3 linked regions of the Callithrix jacchus genome follow. The protein of the gene in region 1 binds, or shares a complex with, the protein of each later gene. Links are inferred from orthologs where the notes say so. Each region holds a gene or a part of one and is shown on either strand. Other genes may lie near its edges.

Evidence for each region. Proteins that work in one complex are often made in the same cells at the same time.
Region 2: the proteins of RAB3IP (region 1) and RAB8A are in contact, whole or in part, in a crystal structure (PDB 4LHX), measured with the Homo sapiens proteins. The link is inferred for Callithrix jacchus from reciprocal best matches to the Homo sapiens genes RAB3IP and RAB8A. Residues at the interface, in NP_783322.1 of Homo sapiens: Ser199, Arg202, Asp203, Gly206, Leu209, Glu210, Thr213, Ala214, Phe217, Glu218, Ala220, His221, Val224, Asn228; in NP_005361.2 of Homo sapiens: Lys10, Phe33, Ser35, Thr36, Phe37, Ile43, Asp44, Phe45, Lys46, Ile47, Trp62, Ile73, Ala76, Tyr77, Arg79, Gly80.
Region 3: the proteins of RAB3IP (region 1) and RAB11A are in contact, whole or in part, in a crystal structure (PDB 4UJ5), measured with the Homo sapiens proteins. The link is inferred for Callithrix jacchus from reciprocal best matches to the Homo sapiens genes RAB3IP and RAB11A. Residues at the interface, in NP_783322.1 of Homo sapiens: Asn367, Thr368, Leu369, Ser370, Ile371, Glu372, Pro373, Asp412, Arg424, Thr428, Cys431, Asn432, Thr435, Tyr439, Leu444, Val445, Lys446, Gln447, Gln448; in NP_004654.1 of Homo sapiens: Phe36, Leu38, Glu39, Asp127, Leu128, Arg129, His130, Leu131, Arg132, Ala133, Pro135, Thr136, Leu156.

The regions. Positions count from the first base shown.
Region 1 is NC_133510.1:72,377,686-72,384,651, reverse strand, and holds part of RAB3IP (rab-3A-interacting protein), read right to left. Parts: intron 4,568-6,966; coding exon 4,439-4,567; intron 3,200-4,438; coding exon 3,087-3,199; intron 1-3,086. UniProt on the Homo sapiens protein: Guanine nucleotide exchange factor (GEF) which may activate RAB8A and RAB8B. Promotes the exchange of GDP to GTP, converting inactive GDP-bound Rab proteins into their active GTP-bound form.
Region 2 is NC_133523.1:14,724,191-14,731,928, forward strand, and holds the start of RAB8A (ras-related protein Rab-8A), read left to right. Parts: upstream 1-3,701; 5' UTR 3,702-3,715; coding exon 3,716-3,839; intron 3,840-7,738. UniProt on the Homo sapiens protein: The small GTPases Rab are key regulators of intracellular membrane trafficking, from the formation of transport vesicles to their fusion with membranes.
Region 3 is NC_133509.1:12,874,344-12,881,917, forward strand, and holds the start of RAB11A (ras-related protein Rab-11A), read left to right. Parts: upstream 1-3,537; 5' UTR 3,538-3,640; coding exon 3,641-3,680; intron 3,681-7,574. UniProt on the Homo sapiens protein: The small GTPases Rab are key regulators of intracellular membrane trafficking, from the formation of transport vesicles to their fusion with membranes.

The DNA of each region.
Region 1 (6,966 bases):
TAGTAAATACATTAAATAACAATGTTTTCGTGATACTTAAATATAATACAAATGTGCCTCTATATTAAGAAAACACACAACAATGTGTAAATAGGATAATTTTTGAGGTGGCAATTAAAATCACAAACCAATTCCTATCTTTCTTCAAAAAGCTATTTCTTTATTGTTTCTTTATTAGCAATTCCTTTAATGATCTGTAACAGTATTTAAAAGCACTAACTACTAGCTTGAGGAGGATGAAGATCTAGAAATTTAAAGCACAAAGTGTTGGAAATCTGTGGAACTTCCAAAGTCTAATCTACACAAGAGGAAAATGTGCCATCAAGCTGCTAAAAATCAATTTATATACTATTCTTCTGGAAACAGATATATGCCTGCTGGTCTACTATTTAGTTTAATTTTGAAATGGATCTGGTAAGGTGGCTTTAAGTATCAACTTTTAAAACAATAAGTGTTTTTTTTTTAACTTCTAAGTTCAGGAGTACATGTGCATGATGTGCAGGTTTATTACATAGGTAAACATATGCTATATAGGTGTTGTGATATACATTATTTCATCACCCAGGTATTAAGCCTAGTATCCATTATTCTACCTGTTCCTCTCCCTCTTCCCATCCTCCACCCTTCCATAGGCTGCAGTGTGTGTAGTTCCCTTCTATGTGTCCATGTGTTCTCATCATTTAGCTCCCACTTGTAAGTGAGAACAGGTAGCATTTGGTTCTCTGTTCCTACATTAGTTTGCTAAGGATAATGGCCTCCAGCTCCAGCCATGTCTCTGCAAAGGACATGATCTCATTCTTTTTTATGGTTGCATAGCATTCTATGGTGTATAGTGTTTCTTAAAAGATCTCATTTCTAAGCCATTTTGTAAACTGGACACACTACTATATTTGTAGTTAACCACAGATTCAATGCTAATAGACCTCTGACCTCCAACTCCAATTTTTCTTTCCAAATATGCTACATACACTACATTAATATATCTCTTTAACTCTAGACCCAAGATTTCAAATCCTTGTTTGGCCATTTTCATGTGAAAATGTCAACATGTCTACATCTAGACCTGTAATCTCCTTCCACAAACCAAAGTCTTTCCTGTTAATTTCCACAATCACTTCAAATCAGTCTTCCAGTCAGACATCTCTAACTCCTTTCTCCTTTACCCATCCCCCACCCCAATCTAACATTTCTTTCTTAAAATCTCTCACATCTTCTCTTTCCTCTCCATACGCTCACCATCCTCTGAACACACTTTGATTTCTTGTTTCTAGGCCTTCAGTTGTATATACTGCTCTTTATCCAAATTCCCCTTATGCTTCAAAAATCTCTCCCTTCAAGAAGAGTACCTAATCATAGCTGAAATGATCTTGTCTTCTTCAAAGCCCTCAGTGTTGTGCCACTGATTTAGTCAATATCTTCACATTCCAGCTCACAAGAGCTACGGCCAGAGCCATACTTCACATTTCATTAAAGAAGACACTATCTTCCTTCAGTTTTTTCCAAATGATATGCATCACAAATGCCTTGATTTCTGGCCCGATTCCCACAAGCACAGTATCCTTAAATTTTGTAAACTGTTCTCTAAATCTAAACTAATAATTATTTTACTAAAGATACTATAAATCCATTTTAGTTTGATATCCCCATTTGTTATCATTTATGATATGTGCACATGTATATGTGTGATATATAATGCAAGCACAAATTTTAAACTCTACAATAAAAACTGTCATATGCTATATTTAAAATGAGGCATAATTTAGACTTTAAAAGTACAAAAACTGCTATGATTAAATTTAATTCTCCATATTTGAGGTGGAAGGATCAGAAAAAAATACTCTTGTGTTTGTAGAATTTAAGAATGTAAATACTTTCCCTAAAATTCAGAGGCTACTGTGGTACAGGTGTGGCACTAGGGGAGTGAGGTGGACATGTGGCTTACAGAGCAAATCAAATATATGACTAGGAACCCTCCAACAAATCGTCCCCTCAATAACAACATTCTGTAATCTTGTGGAGAATGTAACGAGCATTAACAGGAACAGAAAGGCATACATAATCCCCAGAACAGCTTTAACACAGACTTCATTGGTTCATCTCAACCAGTCTTTTCCTCTTCGCGCTTCAAAATAACCCTGACAGCAGTCAGTTATGCTTTCTATGAGCACTCTCAGGCTTTCCAGTTCCCTATATTGATCTGGCTTTTAGCATTTAATAAGCATCTTTCTCAAAAGCTTTCAAAGTCATTTTCTAAATAAAAGGCAAGACACAATTATGCTGTTTTAGGCAAAACCTTTCACCTTTGCCAGATGCGTTAAGCACTGTTGTTTTCAGTTATTCCTCCTCATAGGACTGGATGGGAAAAAAGTCTGTCCTCTTATGAAATGTGGGAGTCTTATCTCTGAAGGTTTATAATTCTCAAGTAAGATTCACATATGAAAGATAAAACTGATTGTTTATTAAAGTGAGAATCCTTTATAAACATAATATGAAAGAAGAGAACTCAGCAAGTCTTTTTGGTACATTGCGTTCATGATTGATATGATTTAGTCTTAACTCAGTATCTTCCCAAACTATTTTTGATGGTCACCTTCAGAGAGAAGTATTTTATACAGAAACCCAGGACACATGGCTATATATATGTGTGTAATAAACAAAAATTCTGCTTATGACCCACTAAACTGATTTCACAATGCACTGATAGGTCACAATATGAGATACACACACACACACACACACACACACACACACCCCACCACTCAGGTTTCTATCTCTAGTCCTATCATATATATATATTATTGCATTGAGTTGGTGCCAAAGTAATCATGCTTGGTGCCATTACTTTCAATGGCAAAAACCACGATTACTTTTGCACCAATCCATAATTAAAACCGCTCTCCTTTGATGCTAAATCTGAAATACTATATTCCACAGTGTCTCATGGATTCGTCTTTGGGCTACACAGACTCTAAAGAGAAATCTGAGGGAAATATAACTACATTTAAAAGCAGAAAAACTAAATAACTGCAACCCAAAACATTTCAAAAACTCAGTCACTTTCACAAGTTATGCATGGAAAAACCTACTTTGGTCCTCCACATTCAACTGCAGAAGCTTTCACAAACCGGATAGGTTGTAATCCCACTGGTTCAATGCTTAGAGTATTGTTTTCCACAGCCTCCAGAACAGCAGAAGCCAACTTAAAAAAATATATATTAGATGTTACACTGGCAGAAAAATATAAAAATTGTATTCTACAGTAAACTAATTTTATAAATTATTCTCCCAAGTTCCACTAGCTTTGCTTTAGCAAATGAAAAAGAAAAAAATCACACAATTTTGGTTTATTTTCTAATCCAAACACTGTTATGAAAGGCAATTCACTTATGGTAAATAACTATCCTCATTATCTGGACAAGGATTAAAGGTATTAATTCCAGCTTCTGTTCATTTTTTACCCACAATTAATATCTACTGTTAATACCACTTCAAAATTAATATCCTAAAGCTTTATTCTGCTAAATGTATACAGTATTTTTAAACACTGATCATTTATAACACACTAATATATATTAATTAGCTATATATTTTCTGAATTTGTATTTACGTGCACAAGAGTGAGTCTACAAAAGAATTAGCTGAATTATCCAACATTAAATGCCCAGATGAAGATGGCAGGAATTATACTAGATTTGAAACAGGCAAACTTCTGTAGTCTGTCAAGGTTACTATTACTGAATGGCCTACCTGAAACCAGATACAGAGCCACAATGAACAACACATATTCATATCAAAAGTGTGAAAAATTTTCATCTTAACTTCTGATAAGTAATATTACAATTAAATCCTTGAAATGCTTAACATAAGACTCTTAGGATTAAATTTCTTATACTTTAATTGACAGGATATTTGTAAACAAACCTTTCACATGTAAGAACAAATTAAAATTACAGCTTTAAATTTTTATACTGCCTTATTTTTCTAAGTTTTTTGTATCTACTTAATCTACTTCATTTTATCCTTTTAACAATCCTGTGGCATGGGCAAAGACATTACTTTTCCTGTTTTAAAGTTAAAAAAATAAGATTTTGAATCATGTACAGATAGACACAACAGATGCCTTTAACTGGGTGTGCAGAGAACTTCCCTTACACTGAACCTTAGATTGCAAATCAAGAAATAAGCCCTATCCCCCATATCTAGTTAATACCTGACTCCAACGCAGTACATGTTAGCGTGAATGAGTCTCTGCTTATATAAGGATGTTCAGTAACTGAATGCCAAGAAATTATCATAATTCTAATATGGAATGGCAAAAATAGTAAAACATGACATTTTATAATAACTTATTTATGTAAGAGATATTAAAATATATATCACGATTTAGTTTTAAAAAGATAGAAACAACTATAATGTATTCCTAATATGAAAAAGTTACCTCGCTTTTTGAGAATGTTAAACATGGAAAGATATCTTCCTGGTAGATTTTGTCTAAAAAAGGACATGTCCTGTCCATTGTGGGCTCATCCTTCCACAATCGGAACTCATTATACAAGGATAAGTCAGCCTATCAAACAAACCAAAGGAAAACACAAAAACACTTTTTAAAAAGTACAAACATAACCACTTTACAAAATCAAAACTAATTTAAACATTACTAAAAAATGCTCTTCATTTAAAATAATAAATTGAACCACTCTTGATTAGTTATAATACCTCGTAGCAGTTTTCCTTTTAAAAAATGACTCCCAAATAGCCAATTTGCCTTTTTCTATTATCATCCACTACCACGTTCAATAATGCTAACATTACCCTCACCCTGAGCCCCTTCTCCCATCCCCACAAAAAAAGCTGGAGTTCCTCTTAAGACACAAGTGGCACTCTATTCAGATTATAATAAATGATGACAAGTCTTTTCTAAAAATAATAAAAAAGTAATCTGGAACCTAATTAATTGAAGTGTCTGAATAAACTGAGACTGGCTGAACTGTGAAACCTAGTTTGGGATCAAAAATGACACTAATTGTTCTACTATCATTTGAAGGCATCCCCAAAAGAATTGTCAAAACATTTATTGCAGAAGGATTAAAAAAAAACACATAAAGCCTCCTAAACTGACTACCTTAAAATATAACATTTATTTAGATATTTTTGACATATTTTGGGCATCCAGCAACTACCATCTTAGGCATCAGTAATAATCCACTGCTGGCACCTGCCTTCCTATTTACTCTTCCAGCTGTCCCTCTCTTTCTCACCTCTGTAATAAATTTTCCCCAAGTATTCTTCCTTACAGATTCTCAGATTCCCTAAGTCCAGCTCAATACCATCTGCTGGAATACAAAGTTCCACTGACATCAGCCACCCAAACTAAAGCAGTCTCCTTCATCCTACAGCTCTAAGCCACTCTAGTCCAGAAGCACTGGACATACCATAAATGATGCACTCACTACAGCTATAGCCTGCCTTTAGTATAGCTTAATCAGATGTGCAAGTAGTCTACAAGAATGTAACCAAGAGCTGAGGGTAACCAAGCTTTCCTACAGACTTCCTTTTAGGGTGCATAAGGGCAATTTCCATAAGAATTTTTTTTTCAGCCCAATTAATAAATTCCTTGAATCAAAGCTAAAAGCAAAAAAATAAATAATATTAGCATACAAGCAATACTTACATTTTCAAATGCATTTTCTTTCTAAAGTTACTGAGAAAATGGACATAAACCCCAAAGCAGGTAAATGGTACTCTAAGGAAAGATTCTAGTTCAAAGGCAGTAATTTAAACCACTTTTTAAGAGCTGACTTGTGCCAGGAACTACTGTAAGCACTTTACAAACATTTAATCCTCACAACTGTGCAAGGCAGATATTATGATCCCTATTTGTAACTTGCCCAAGATTGCATAGCAAGAAAGCAGTAAAGTCCAAATTCAAATCTAAGTGGCTTAATCCCAAAGCCTCGCACTTGGCATCTATGTCTGCAAGCGTGCATGTATATTTTAAATGTTACAGAAGACAAACTGTTGCTTTTGTCTGACTGAGTACTCCACCATATTTTCTACAAAAACATAGACATGCATCATTTTCTTCCAGATTGTTACATATTTTTATAAGACTTACACAGGTCAAATTTATGTAATTCCTTTGTCTAGTAAGACTTTTTGACAAGCTTTTTATGAAACATCAGAATATAACTCATACCTGGAAAGCAAAGATTATTATTTTGAAGTTATATGCTGCCTACACACATTTTAAAAGATTTCAAAAAATTAAAAATGAATCTTTACAATTTTCCATGAGAAGACACTCAAATTTTTTTCGTGTAAATGGGGTGAAGTACATAATTACTTATACTTACTGAGTGAGAAACAGCAAAAATACAAGTTGGACCAGGCAATTAATAAGGCTATCTAAATTCCAAAGAATTTAAATTAAAGTCAGGACAAAAAAAGTTTCTTAAATATTTCACAGAAAACAATGTAAATTTTGGATTTGGTTACATTCAGATCTAACCAAGTACTGAACTTCTCTCTTATCAGCATCTTTTTTATTAAAAATTAGTCAAAATGCAATTCAATTAAAACAGGTTAACAACATTGGTTATTCCATTTAATAAACTCCTGGTTTCCATACAAAAATTTAACAAGCACACACATTTCTTCAAGATTAATGATGGACTTGAAACAACAATGTAAAAGATGGCTTCTAAGAAGAAATGGGAGAGCTTCATAAATTATTGATCAATCCTCTTAGAAATGCATTCTCATAGTATGCAATAATTTAAAAAAATTTTTACTCTAAAGAGCTCTAAATATTTATATTTCAGTTATCTTTATAACACATCTTTTAAAATAATAAGACTACCATTATTTCTTTTTAAAATTTTTAGTTACTATGGATATATAAGAACAGTAGCCTTACATAGTTGTAAGTGTCTGAATAACTGAGACTGGTTGAACTACGAAACCTAA
Region 2 (7,738 bases), on another chromosome or scaffold:
GGAACACAGGGTGAGGATAGAACTGGATTGGGAGGGATATCAAAGGCTAAGAGGAAGATTTTGAACTTTATCCTGCCAAGAGACCACGGATAGTTACTAAAGGAAGTGAGTTGTTTTTTGAGACAGGGTCTCACTCTGTCATCCAGGCTGGCGGGCAGAGGCTCGATCATGGCTCACTGCAGCCTCGACCTCCTGGGCTCAAGGAATCCTTCCACCTCTGCCTCCAGAATAGTTGGGACTACAGGTATGTGCCCAGCTAATTTTTGTTATTTATTTATTTGAGACAGTTTGGCTCTTGTTGCCCAGGCTGGAGTGCAATGGTGCTTATCTCGGCTCACTGCAACCTCTACCTCCCAGGTTCAAGAGATTCTCCTGCCTCACCCTCCCGAGTAGCTGGGATTACAGGCCACATGCCACCCCGCCGGGCTAATTTTTTTGTATTTTTAGTAGAGATGGGGTTTCTCCATGTTGGTCAGGCTGGTCTCTAACTCCCAACCTCAGGTGATCTGCCTGCCTCGGCCTCCCAAAGTGCTTGGGATTACAGGCGTGAGCCACCACATCCAGCCTAATTTTTGTAATTTTAATTGAGACAGTTTCGCCACGTTGACCAGGCTGGTCTCAAATGCCTGACCTCAAGTAACCTGGCTGCCTCAGCCTCCCTTAGTGCTGGGATTACAGGCGTGAGCCACAGTGCCCAGAGTAAAGTAAGTGTTTTACAATAACCACACTGCAGGGTGGAGTCTGGATTAGACAAAATGGACAGGGAGACCAGTGGAGAAACGCGATGATTCCACTGTGGCAATGGAAAAGGAAGAACCAGATTCAAGAGATATTGTTTGTTTTATTTTTTATTTTTGAGACCAAGTCTTGCTCTGTCACCCAGGCTGGAGTGCAGTGGTGCAATCTCAGCTAACTGCAACCTCCACCTCCCCAATTCAAGCCATTCTTCTGCCTCAGCTTCCTGAGTAGCTGGAATTATAGGCACGCACCACCATGCCCAGCTACTTTTTAAAATTTTTAGTAGAGACGGGGTTTCACCATGTTGGCCAGGCTGGTCTCGAACTCCTGACCTCAGGTGATCCACCCGCCTCAGCCTCCAAAAGTGCTGGGATTACAGGCGTGAGCCATGGCGCCCGGCCCTCAAGAGCTATTTAGAACCTCCTTAAAAACCAGGATGTGACAGATGAGAGATGAAAGGCAGCTGTCACAAATGGCTTAAGTTTCACTCGCAAGGAAAATCAGGACAAGCCGGTCTGGATATTAGCTGATGAGTTCAGTTGTGAACATGCTGAGTTAGGAGTAGCTGACAAATCCAAAGTGAGATGTCCAGAACACAGATGGATGTGAAGAGATGGCTTGGCTAAGGGTCAAACAATGAGACTGGTCAGCGTGGAGACATTAGGAGCACCCAGAAAGTGAGAACAGAGACAGAACACGAGAAACACAAATTCTAAGGGACAAGCAGAAACCACCCCCTGCCCCCCAAAAAAGACTGCATTGGGGTCTGAGAAAAATAACCAATCAAAGAAAGGGAGGGAGAGGTGGTAGGGAGAAGAAACCAGCAAATAAAATAGAGATAGGGCCAGGCGTGGGGTTCACACCTGTGATCCCAGCACTTTGGTAGGCAGAGGCAGGGGGCAGAGGGCAGATCACTTGAGGCCAGAAGTTCGAGACCAGCCTGGCCAGTATGGTGAAACCCCCATCTCGACTAAAAATACAAATTAGGTGTGGTGGCAGGCACCTGTAATCCCAGCTCTTTTGGGAGGCTGAGGCAGGAGAATCTCTTGAATCCTGGAGACGAAGGTTGCAGTGAGCAAAATCACACCACTGCACTCCAGCCTGGGCGACAGAACAAGACCCTGTCTCAAAAATAAGTACATAAATAAAATGAGGATGATACCAAGAAAAAATAGACTATTCAGAGGTGGTCAAGACTTTCAAATCCCACAGAGGCTGAGGCCTGTGAAGTGGTCAGTGGCTCTTGTTGAAGCTTTTCTTAGCCAGAGCTATATTAGCAGAATGAGCTGAAGTGGAAGGGAGGAGGAAAGGCTGGGGCCATCCTTCTGCAGACCCTTAAGTGAGCCTCCAGGCCCTGGAGGCCCCAGAGTGACCTAAGAGAGACTGGGCCATCTCTAAGAAGCAGGAAGCCCTAGTGAGCAAATTGCAGCCTGGGAAGACTGGCACTCTGAATTCTGATACCAACTTCTACTTTTGAGTGGGGAGGGGGAAAAAGTCACTTAACCTCCTCTGGCTTCAGTTTTCTCACCATCAAATGGGAAAAAAACAGTATCATTTTGCTGGGCTGGTACTGGGATTAAAGTTTTTTAAGTCAGGGCTTTGCTCTGTCACCCAGGCTGGAGTGCAGTGGTGCAATCATGGCTCACTGCAGCCTTGACCTCCAAGGCTAAAGGGATCCTCCCACCTTAGCCTCCTGAGTAGTTGGGACTACAAGCATGCAATACCACACCTGGCTAATTTTTTTTAAGTTTTTTTGTTTTGTTTTTTTTTTTGAAAGAGTCTCGCTCTGTCACCCAAGCTGGAATGCAGTGGTCTCGAACTCCTGACCTCAAGTGATCTGCCTGCCTCAGCTCCCAAACTGCTGGGATTACAGGCATGAGCCACCAGACCCGGCTGCAAGCCCGATTTTCCTAATGTATCCCTCCTTTTCTTTTTTCGAGTGTCTCGCTCTGTCGCCCAGGCTGGAGTGCAGTGGGGCAATCAAGGCTAGTGGAGCCTCAATCTCCTGGCCTCAAGCGATCCTCCGCCTCGGCCTCCAGAAGCGCTATGATCACAGGCGGAAGCCACCGCGACGGTCTGTTTTTTCAATGTTGAGAGGACCACCAGACACAGAACCGCCGACCCTAGATAGGACCCAGCATCCTCACTGCCCTAACCCGCAAGGCTGGCCCGGACAACCCCTAAGGCGGCCGAGGGCGGGCCCTGAGGGGGACGGCGCGCGCCTTGGGGCACAGCTCGTGGCGGTGACGCCGCTCAGGTGGCGGAGAGCTTGGGTATCTCTAAGCAGGTTGCCAAGCCACAGCCGAGACCTCGGATCTCGCCTCGGGGGTCACTTTTCGATTATACAGCGCTTCCTCTCTCCTTCCTCCCTCGGCTCACGCTGCCCCGGCAGACCACAGACGTATAAAAAAGCTCTTCAGTCCTTTCCCGCGCTCGCTTCGGCGCCTACTGAGGCTGCGCGAATTGTGAGGGCGAGACCCAGAGATACCCTCCCCAACTATGCGCGTGCGCCCTCTGCTGGCGCCTAACGGACCTCCGGGTGCGCGTGCGCACGCACCCCAAGCCCCGCCCACAGACTGTCGGCGCGCGAGCCGTTGGCGCTGCTCGCTGCTTTCCCTCTCCCATTTTGGGGCGGGGCCGGGCCGCCGAGTCTGTGGTGGAGGCAGGGGCCACATAATGCCACGCCCCCGTCTCGTCCCCCTTTGAAGCCCCTCGACTCTTTACTGCTGGTCAATCAGAGCCCGTCCTCATATCAGTGCTGGCCAATGGGAGGTACGCTCGGGCTGCTTCCGGCTCCGCGCTACGCTCGCCCCCTCCCCAGGTCTCCCCGCGGCGGGCGGGACTCAGGGGCGAGTGTCGGCCGCGGTGACACGCTGCGGGCCTGGAGCCAATAAGGGGCGGGCTCGGCGCTGATGGACGGGGCTGGTGGCCAGTGGATAGGCGCTAGCTGCACTTCCTGTCGGGGAGAGAGTGTAATATGGCGAAGACCTACGATTACCTGTTCAAGCTGCTGCTGATCGGGGACTCGGGGGTGGGGAAGACCTGTGTCCTGTTCCGCTTCTCCGAGGACGCCTTCAACTCCACGTTTATCTCCACCATAGGTAGCGGGATCCGGGAGTGGCTAGGGGCGCCGGAGGCCCGGGCTGGGCGCGCCCCTGAGGGGCTGGGGCTGAGAAATCTACCCTGCTGGGCGGGCCGAGGGCTCTGAGAGGGTCGAAGGGAGAAGAGCAGCCGCCTGCACCGCCGTTTCGGGGTTCATGGGCCGTGGCGGGGGAGACCAGGTGCCCATTTTGCAGATGGGGTGACTGAGGCTCCCATCCTCAGCCCGCTCGTTAGGGAGTGTTATGTCCTGGGCAGGCGTCTTCGCACCCGTCCTTTCGGTCTGTCCTAGCAGCAGCCCTCGAAGCGGTTCTTTTGCGGTTCCTGTCTTACAGAGGTGGAAACTGAGTCATGAGGAATTGGCTGTGGGAAAAAGACGGTGACATGTCGCCTTAATGAGCAATTGCTATGTGCCAAGTCCTTCACGTGCATTTCCACACTCTAGTTTCGGTGTTTTAAGTGCTGTTATGAGCCCGTCTCACAGATGAGTAATTTGAGGCTCAGGGAGGGCGTGGGACTTATCCAAGGCCACACAGTCTGCAGGTGGTGAGAATGGGATTTAATGGAATTTAATCCTGGCTGTGTCTCACCCCAAAACTCGAGGCTTAGCTCTTCTAGAGAGTTAGCACCACACACCCCTGGCTGATGACAAACTCAGTTAATGCACCTTGGAGCCGGGACTCTAACTCACACCATTCCTCCTCTTCTCTGGAGCATCCAGAGGTTGAGTCCCTCTCCTTGCCATGTTTTCCCCCATAAGTGTATTTTCCTCTAGAAGAAATGATAAGAGGAGTCAGGACCTTTTCCCTGCCTGCCTTTTATCCTGCTCCAGGATGACAGCAATGGCAAGTGACAGTGCTGCCTGCCCTGGGACCTGTCATCCCCAAGAAGATGCAAGATAAAACCCTCAATGAGAAACTAAATCAGCCACTGCCACAGACAGCCTTGACTTCCCTATCAAAGGGCCCAGGACACCGGTTGTCAATTTAGAACAGCTTTTCCCGTAGGGCCAGCCCACATCGTGGTTGAACAAAATTGGCTTGTTGTGATGTCTCAGTTGTGATGTCCACAGAAGTAGAGTTGACCTCTCTCAGCGCCACAGAAGCAGTCCTGGCCCACGATGAAAAGGTTAGACCTGGGAGTAACACCGATCAGAGTGGCCTGTGAGCTCTGCAGCCCTGCTAGGGATGGGGATAGTGAGGGAACGGTCACTAAGTCAAGGAGTTTATTCAAAGTCAAGAAAACATAGAGAATGGCCTTTGCTTTATGTGTGACTTCAACAGAATCGTGTTATCTCCCTAAATCTCATGATAATGTGCCAATTCCATTCTTGCCCCCCTCGAGGAGCTGCACTTTATGAAACAGTTATATGCCAGATGTAAAGTAGAGAGAATTAACTGGAAATCATCATGTCTGGTTCCTAGTTGCTGCTGGCCCTTGAACGTGCACTACCCCTCTCTGACCCCTGCTGTCTTCAGAGCAGGAGTGACGCTGTCTGCCTGGGCTAGTGCCCTGGTGGTTGAGGACTAGAATTAGACAATAAGGGGTTGTCATCACAACCAGAGGCCATCTAGAGAAAACAAATGAATGGCTCCTGTGGTGACAGCTTCCACCCTCTGAAGACAGATGTTTCTGAATTCTTCCCCCTCCCCCACTCCAAGGCCAAGCTTTAGGGTAACCCTTGTGCCCCAGCCAATCAAAAAGTGGCTTTAATTCAGCCTGGACGACAGGGCAAAACCCCATCTCTGCAAAAAATCAAATGAAATTAGCTAGGCATAGTGGCTCACCCATGTAGACCCAGCCACTTAGGAGGCTTAGGTGGGAGGGTGGATTGAGCGCAGGAGGTCAAGGTGCGGTGAGCTCTGATGGCGCCACTGCACTCCAGCCTGGGCAACAGAGCGAGACCCTGTCTCAAAAAAAAAGAATACAACTGTGGGCAGACTGTGGCTTGCATTTACCCAGTTCCCAGTTTCCTAGCCTCAGCACCTTCCCCTCAAACCCCCTCTTTAGAGTTACTTTAAAGCTTTAAAGAGGCCATCTTCCATTTGCAGATGAGGATATGACTTGGTGAAAGTTAACCTAGCAAGGTGACCCCAAGATCCCTCCCTCCCACCCCAGCGTTCCGCTCCTTCCATTTGTAGCCTTCTGTCTTCTAGGAAAGTCTAATTCACCGTGACCTTGAAGTTCAGGCCTCATAATTCTTAGGTCTCATAAAGTTTGCACTTCCTAATTAAATTTGGCGTGTTAATAAAACCCAGCAGGAGTGTAGGGCAGAGCGCTACTGTGGAGCTTAGCCAACCTAACAGTGCTCCTTGATTTTGTGTGTCCCTGTGCACGCATGGCAGGAGGTGGGGTATGCTTTAGGAAGCCTAGGCACACTGGGCTGTCTAATCCTGAAGCAGAATCTCTCAATGCTTAAAGACAATTCCATAAATTAGCCAGACGTGGTGGCACTTGCCTATAGTCCCAGCTACTCGTGAGGCTGAGGCAGGAGAATCGCTTGAACCCAGGGGGCAGAAGTTGCAGTGAGCCGAGATTGTGCCACTGCACTCCAGCCTGGGCAACAGAGCGAGACTGTCTCAAAAAAAAAAAAAAAAAGCGATTCCGTGTTGGCTGAGGGCACCTCTGGGTTTTCTTTATAGACCAAGGATTGAGTGGCTGTTCATTTTCTGCCACTCAGTCCTTAACATTTTGCCAAAAGTAACATATCGCCAAAATCTATTCTCAGAAGCCCCATCGATCATTTTGTGGTGTGAACTTGGCCCTGTGGCTCCCTGGAATGGGTTCTCACCAGCCTGGCTGAGTGCCACTGACTCCTCAGGGGCCCATTCATTCCTCCAGTGACAGGGTTGGCGTGTGAGAAAGTGCTTTGTGAACCGCTCAGCACCGCATAGACCCTGTTGCGCTTTATTTCTTTGATCCGGCCATATTTTGCCAAGGCCTCTGTGGGCCAGGCAGCCGCTTTGGCACGAGGGCTGCAGAGAGGACCGAGTGAGTCAAGGTGCACGCAGGACTGTGCTACCAGCTTCTAGCAAATGCATATTGAGTCACTGGGAGGGAAAAGCAGTGGATGAGACCATCAAGTCCCTGCCTCCAGGGAGCTTATGTTTGAGAGGGCGAAATTCCAGTGCTGAGGCTGGCTGGATGGAATTAGCATCCCCACCCTGGGTTCAGAGAGGTCCAGCCAGGCCTGGGCCTCAAGTCTTCCCCGGCAGGGATTTGAAGAAACTCCTAGTGGCAAAGGCTGAGTCTGGCTGTTCCTCGTCCACCCGGGTCATTAGGATCTGCAAGCATTACACCCAGGTCCATGCAGCTGGTGACACAAATATAGGTCGGATAAGTTAATAAATAGGTAAGAGCAAGTGGATGAGGATGGTCAGGAAGGCTCCCTTCGGGAGGGATCTTGAATAGGGACCTGAACAAAGGGATAGCCAGGGAGCTACAGAAGGAAAGAACTTTCCAGGACAGGGAAGAGCAAGCGTAGAAGCCCCGAGTCAGGAGCGTGCTTGGAATGTTTAGGAAATAGCTGTGTGGATGGTGTGGCTGGAAAGAGAAGGTCATGAGCCAGAGTCCCAAGAGGTGACTAGGTTAGGCGGGACCTCGGCACACCGGGGCAGCTGTTTCCACTTTATTCGAGGGAAGAGGGACCGGGAAGCCACTGGAAGATGCTTTTTTGTGGAAAAAAAAAAATAGCTTTACATGGCCGGGTGCAGTGGCTCAAGCCTGTAATCCCAGCACTTTGGGAAGCCGAGGTGGGTGGATCACGAGGTTAAGAGATCGAGACTATCCTGGTTAACATGGTGAAACTCCATCTCTACTAAATAAATACAAAAAATTAGCTGGGCATGGTGGCGCATGCCTGTAATCCCAGCTACTCAGGAGGCTGAGGCAGGAGAATTGC
Region 3 (7,574 bases), on another chromosome or scaffold:
GGTAAGTGCCACCACACCTGGTTAATTTTTTCATTTTTTTGTAGAGTCAGGGTCTCGCTATGTTGCCCAGGCTGGTCTTGATCTCCTTCAGCTCAAGCCATCCTCCAACTTGTCCTCCTAAAGTGCTGGGATTACTGGCATGAGTCACCTTTCCTGGCCTCTTACTGTTTTTTATTCTCACTTCTCTTTTTCTATTACTCATTCTTTTCAATAGATATTAAACCTGACTATATGTGGTGGCTCTCCGACTGCAGGTACGTGCCACCATGCCTGGCTAATTTTTTTTTTCTGAGATGGAATCTCACTCTATTACCCAGGCTGGAGTGCAGTGGCACAATCTCTACTCACTGCAACCTCCGCCTCCCAGGTTCAAGTGATTCTCTTGCCTCAGCCTCCTGAGTAGCTGGGATTACAGGTGCCTGTCACCATGCCTGGCTAATTTTTCTATTTTTAGTACAGACAGTGTTTCGCCATGTTGGTCAGGCTGGTGTGGAACTGCTGACCTCATGATCCACCTGCCTTGGCCTCCCAAAGTGCTAGGATTACAGGTGTGAGCCACCATACCTGGTTATTTTTTTATTTTTTGTAGAGATGACGTCTGACTCTGTTGCCCAGGCTGGTCTTGTACTCCTGGGCTGAAGCAGTCCTGCTAGCTCAGCCTCCCAAAGGGATGACAGCTATGAGCCTCCACACCCAGCCTGCAATAGCCTTCTGATACTTATACTTCTAGTCCTTCTTTATGCCAGTCTCGTAGGCTACAGCCAGGTTACTTTTACTAAGACCACGTTTACTTCAATCACCCCTCTGTCCACAAATCTTTTTTTCACTCCCCCTAAAAATTCAGAGGGATGTGAATAGTGTTCCATGCAAAAAATATTCTGTGTTCTGGTGAATTTCGGAAACGCTGTGTGAGTGTCCTAAGGAAAAACTTACCGTAGGACTTACTTGACCATGTAGCCCCTCCTGCCTTTTTTTTTTTTTTTTTTTGGTTATTAGCTAAATTTAAGATTCAGTTCTTCTTTTGAGGAATACTATGTCCTTTTCAGAGTACACATTAAGAGTGAATGACTGAAGGAGAAAAATTGGTAATTCTTCTAGCATGAATGGCCTTGCTGAATACGCTCTTACAATCTAATTCCTCCACTTCAGGGGTCCGTGCCTCGTCCTCCTCCTCCTCAGTGTCTTCTCCGGTACCTCCTCCTCCTCCAGTACCTCCTCCTCCTCCACCTCTGGCCTAGGCTGGAGAGCAGTGGTACGATCTTGTCTCACTGCAACCTCCATCTCCTGGGTTCATCAGGCTGGGTTCCTGCCTCAGCCTCCCGAGTAGCTGAGATTACAGGACCTTACTATCACTTTATAGTGACAGAGAAAGCACTGAAATTGGCACTGTATTCATTTTCTATTGCTTCCATAACAAATTACCATAAACTTGGTGACTTAAAACAACACAAATTTATTATTTATAGTAGTGTAGGTCACAACTCTGACAAGAGTCTCACTGGGCTAAAATCAAGTTGTCAGCAGGGCTGTGTTGCTTCTGGGGGCCTTATGAAATAATCTGCTACCATGCCTTTCCCAGCTTCTAGAACCCTCCGGATTCCTAGTCTCCTGGGCCCCTTTCCTCCATCTTCAAAGCCAGCAAGGGCAGGTTGAGGTTTTTTTTTTTTTTTTTTGGATGGAGTCTCACACTGTCGCCTGGGCGGGAGTGCAATGGTGAGATCTCAGCTCACTACAACCTCTGCCTCCTGGGTTCATGGGATTCTCCTGCCTCAGCCTCCTGAATAGCTGGGATTACAGGTGTACACTACCAAACCCGTCTAACTTTTTTGTGTTTTTTTAGTAGAGAAGGGTTTTTAACATGTTGGCCAGACTGGTCTCGATCGAACTCCTGACCTCGTGATCCACCCACCTCGGCCTCCCAAAGTGCTGGGATTACAGGTGTCAGCCGCTGTGCCTGGCCCATTTTCCTCTTTTAAGGACCCTTAAGACAACACTGGGGCCACCCAAATAATCCAGGATATATCCCTAATTTAATGTCAGTTGATTGGCAACCTTAATTCCATCTGTAACCTCTATTCTCCTTTGCCATGTAACCTAACCTATTCAGTCTTCAGGAATTGGAAAATGGACATCATTGGCAGGGGTCAATATTCTGCCTGTTATAGGCACTCCTTCCCACAATTCTAAATTGAGAGTTTGCATATAGGAGGTAGGAGGTGTGACAATAATTGGAAAAAGGCTTTTCTGGAATTACAAAATTCTCTTCAAATACAGGGAGGCCCCACAGCATGATATCCGACAAATCACTTGAGTCTTAGTATCCAAATTTCCGCTAAAATGGAAATTGCCATCCTTAGCCCAGCATGTTAAATGAAATACTTATGTAAAAGGACTTAGATTAGAGGCCTACAAATAGGACTCAAGTTCTTGATGAATCTTGATGAGGAGGGTGGGCGAAGTACTCTAAATGTTTGAAAGATTTCCAGAGAGGAATGAGTGACAAAAGCGCCTACCCTTGCATGAAGCTGGAGGTAGAAAATTCCAGCAAAAGAAATTTTCAAGTTTCATTGAAGCTTCTGAACTAAGGTTTGAGGGACCAGGCTAAAAAATAGGCAAAGAGAAGAGGCTCAGTAAGACAACCCCCACCAAGTAGCAGACAGTACCTGAAATGCAGTGGGAAATTTGTGAGGTCTTCATAGGCAAGGGTTAAGTTTTACATCTCCATCTTAATTCTAGTGAAGATATATCATAGTTGTTCAATTACTTAGTGAACAAAAATGTGAATTAAAAATGTCAAGAGGGCTGGGCACGGTAGCTCACGCCTATAATCCCAGCGCTTTGGGAGGCCGAGGCGGGTAGATCACGAGGTCAAAAGATCGAGACCATCCTGGTCAACATGGTGAAACCCCGTCTCTACTAAAAATATAAAAATTAGCTGGGCATGGTGGTGCGCACCTGTAGTCCCAGCTACTCTGGAGGCTGAGGCAGGAGAATTGCTTGAACCCAGGAGGCGGAGGTTGCTGTGAGCCGAGATCGTGCCATTGCACTCCAGCCTGGGTAACTCCTTGTCAAGAAAAAACTATATACATTGTCAAGGAAAAAAATGAAGCAGTGCAGGTTCCACCGAGATTTGAACTCGGATCGCTGGATTCAGAGTCCAGAGTGCTAACCATTACACCATGGAACCTCCACGAATGTGTAGCTGCCTTGGGCTCACTAACCCTTAGAGAACCCCGCCCCCATCCACAAACTCTCCACCCAGAGGCGGTCTGGCCGGTTCCAGCGAGCCGCTTCCGGGCACGGTAGCTCGAGAAATGAGCAAGAGGCCACTAAGACCATGGTGAACTAGTAATTCTAGGGCTCAATTTCCCCTCTGAGCTTCTTTTAGCAGCGAAAGTTTGAAGTCTTAAGCCATGCGACTCTCGCGCACACCGCCCTTCTTGAGCTCAGGGGCGGGGCGCCGCCCCCGGAAGTACTTCCTCTTAGAGGCTGGGGCCTGTCGGAAGTGGCGCAGCTGCAGGGAGGGGCTCTCCACCCAGTCCGGCCGCTGAAGCTCGGCGTTCGGGTTACCCCTGCAGCGACGCCCCCTGGTCCCACAGATACCACTGCTGCTCCCGCCCTTTCGCTCCACGGCCGCGCAATGGGCACCCGCGACGACGAGTACGACTACCTCTTTAAAGGTGAGGCCATGGGCTCTCGCACTCTACACAGTCCCCGTTGGGGGACCTCGGACGCTCCCGGCGGACCCGCCTGCCGGCCACCCCGGCGCTGATATAGGCCTGCCTCAGCCCCTCCTTTCTGTGCGGTTCCGGCTCCTACCCAGCTCGGCGTCTTCTCCCCGCTCAGACAGGGGTCCGCGTCACTTGCCGCTCTGAGCGACCTCCATGGAGGCCTTCGCTGGCCTTAGAGCCCCTCCCTGCGTGTCCTTCCCCCGGTGAACTGCCTTCTCCCCACATCGTGGAATTCCTTTCCCCGGGTTCCACGGCCCCGCCGCTCCTCCCACCGTCTCTCTTTTTGGGTGTAGCGCCCCCTCCCACTCGGTGTACAACCTTCCCGGCTCGCGTCCTCTCTCGAAGCCCCTCTGACGGGTTCTTCGCTTCCCTCCTTGCCTTTCCTTCGGCGCAGACTCCCACTACAGGTCTTTTTCTTATCTGCCCCCTTTCCTCCCTCCCTTCGGACTGCCGCCCGCTCTTAGCTTCGCCCATCCCGGGTCCAGGACCCCGTAAAATGTGAGCGGACCGGGGGCCCCAACTACCAACCCCTCCCCCGCCCCGCGCCCTCCACCCCCACCTCTCGCCGGGCGGTTCTCGCGGTCCTTAACCTTCTCTGACCGCTCCCTCCCCCACTCCCCATTTGGCAACTCTTTCTCTACCTTCCCTCCCCAAATTGTGTTTAGAGCTCCCGTGTCTCCATTGCGACCCGGGTAGTGGGAGGGAGGGTAAGAGGGATCGCCCGTCACCCACGCGCGCACTTGTCGCAGTGACCCGGCAGGCTGACATTACTTCCCACCTAGCCTTTCATTCTCTTGCCTTCCCCATCCAGTAGCACCCAACCCTGGGTAACTCTTGACTCGGTTCGCGAGAAGGGTTTGCGGATGGGTGGTGGCTGTTATCCTTGCCAGACCTGAAGGCCCGGTTCCTGAGCAGGAAAGGTTGTGCGCTGCACAAATACTAGCTTGCTTTATCTCTCTGGACTGGTTGCTTCCTGCTGCAACACTGGGAGGATCCAACAGGAAGGGAAGAGCCCTAGTTGGCCACATACCTTTCCCAAAAGGTTGGGGGTGGGAGGAAGTTGTGTACTCTTTTGGTCACATTAGATATTTGTTATAAGATATGGAAACATGTAGGGTCCTTGGCTAAAACATAAAGGAGGGTCGGGGTGGTTAGAAAGAGTTGCTTATTGGTTGAGTCCGGAAAGAATCCAGATAGTTTTTTTTAAATCGACGAAGATAAAGGGTACATTTTTCAGTGAGAAGAGAGTACAGTAGATGCTTTTTTTGTTCAGTGAATGCGCTCTCACTCTGATGCTCTTTCTCTGCTCCTGAATTGGGAAGGTAGCCATCAGTAGCGTGCCGAACAAAGATCATTAGCAGTGAGGAAGAAGCTATTGCTATTAAAGCTTTACTGTGGAGGGTGGAGTTTAAAGAGTGTTAAGCATGGTGACTGTTGACTTTGCCATTGGGTGCTAAGAATGATTGACCAAACCAGGGAGGAAAGATTTCTTTGCTTTCCCAGTACTTTGCAAATCTTGTTATGCTAGCCTGCTGTCATACATACTCTTCCTCTGACCCAGAATATACTATTGTATAGGGTGAACACTTTCAGTATCCACCCTCACCCCCATACTGGAAAGTACTTTCAGGGTACTTAATTCATTTTACAAATACAAAACTGAGGCCTGGATTACAGAAAGTATACTACAACATACCTTTTGCCGAAGGCATCTGAGATGATGTGAAATTATTTGAGTCTTTTGAGGCTTTGGGGTTAAAGGGAGGTTTGTGTTTTAAAATATGTTGTGGTGGTAGTATGCCACTGACTGCCTTTGAAGTAATTAATTCAGAACAAAATGGACCCTCGGGGTATTTCTCTTGTTTGGTTTCAACTTGAATGTTGGTTATAGAAGGTCTATTTATTTATTTATTTGCGACAGAGTTTTGCTTTGTCGCCAGGCGCCGGGCTGGAGTGCAGTGGCCGATCTCGGCTCACTTCAACCTCCGCCTCCCGGGTTCAAGCAATTCTCCTACCTCAGCCTCCTGAGTAGCTGAGACTACAGCTGCGGACGACCACGCCTAATTTTTTTTTTTTTTTTTTTTTTTTAAAGTAGAGACGGGGTTTCACCATGTTGGCCAGGATGGTCTTGATCTCTTGACCTCATGATCCGACCACCTCAGCCTCCCAAATTGCTGGGATTACAGGCATGAGCCTCCACGCCCGGCTGGTCTTTTAATTTTTTAAGCAAAGAATGTTAAATATTCTAAATTGGCCTAAGGTTTTTCAACTTTTTGATTAGACCATCCTTCTAACAACGATTGAGAGCACTGAGCTTTGGAATCACGTAGACCTCAGTTTAGATCCTGACTCAGGTCTTAAATTTACTTTGTGACCTTGGAAAAGTTCCCTTTTCTGAGTCTCAGATATCTCATGTATAAAAAGAAAAATACCTGCCTCTTAAGATTGTTGTGAGAATTAAATGAGACTGTAAACTTTTAACCATGAGGACTCAATAAATAGTAATGTGAAAGAAGTTATTGTGGTTTTGTGTGTGTGTGTGTGTGTGTGTATTTTGAAACAGGGTCTCCCTCTGTCCCCCAGGCTGGAGTGCAGTGGTGCAATCAAGGCTCACTGCAGTCTCCACCTCCCCAGGCTCAGGTGACCCTCCCACCTCTGCCTCCCTAGCTACTCCCTCGCTCCTAGGAGTAGCTGAGACTAGAAGACTGGCACTACCACACCCAGCTAATTTTTTTTTTTTTTTTTTTGAAAGACAGGGTTTTGCTGTGTTGCCCACGCTGTTCTCACACTCCTGGACTTAAGCAGTCCACCTGTCTCAGCATCCCAGAGTGCTGAGATTACAGGCGTGAGCCTGGCCTTTGTCAGTTTTTTGAACCTTAAATGTAGTTTCAACTACAAGAGCATTTAAATATTATTAAAGAAACATAAAACCAGGAAATTCTAATGCATTTTATGTTTCCATGGATTATGATTGCATTTTATTGTGCATTTTGCTGTTTAAGATAGGGTGTTGAAAATTCTGCTGAGGAGGAGCTCTACTTTTCTTTTTTTTTTAAATTGAGATGGACTTTTACTCTTGTTGCCCAGGCTGGAGTGCAGTGGCGAGATCTCGGTTCACTGCAACCTCCGCCTCCTGTGTTCAAGTGAGTAGCTGGGATTATAGGCATGTACCACCACGCCCGTCTAATTTTGTATTTTTAGTAGAGGCAGAATTTCTCCATGTTGGTCAGGCTGATCTTGAACTCCTGACCTCAGGTGATCCGCCTGCCTCAGCCTCCAAAGTGCTGGGGTTATAGGCATGGGCCACCATGCCTGGCTGGATTTCTGTTTTTTTAAAGCTCTTACAGGATATGAGTCACTTTTTTTTTTTTTTTTTTTACTTTAATGCTGATTAGCCAATTTCTTATTTATACAAGTACCCTACTTTAAAGTGAAGCAAGAATGATTTTATTTTAAAATGGCTTTATTGTACGGAGATTTATTCACTGAGATAGACTGCAGCTGTCTCTACTTAGAAGATTTACCTAGCAAATGCAGTAGTTGAGGGAATTGGAGTTAGTTTCTAACTAACCAGTTGAAAATAAAGGGATATTTTGAGTAGTATGGGATGGAGTGGTTTAAATAGAAATGTAATGTGGGGGAAGCAGGACGGTTATTCTAAATTATGTATTTTTTCTTGAATATTAACCTTTAGTTAAGCCCAATAGTGAGACATTTCGTGGGAGGGAATTACTTTTATTAAACTTGACTTTTTATTTTTAAAACTTTAGTAAGTATTTACAAACAATATGGTTAAGGTCCTGTGGGACCTTATAAGTAAGCATCAGTTATAATTTCTATTTA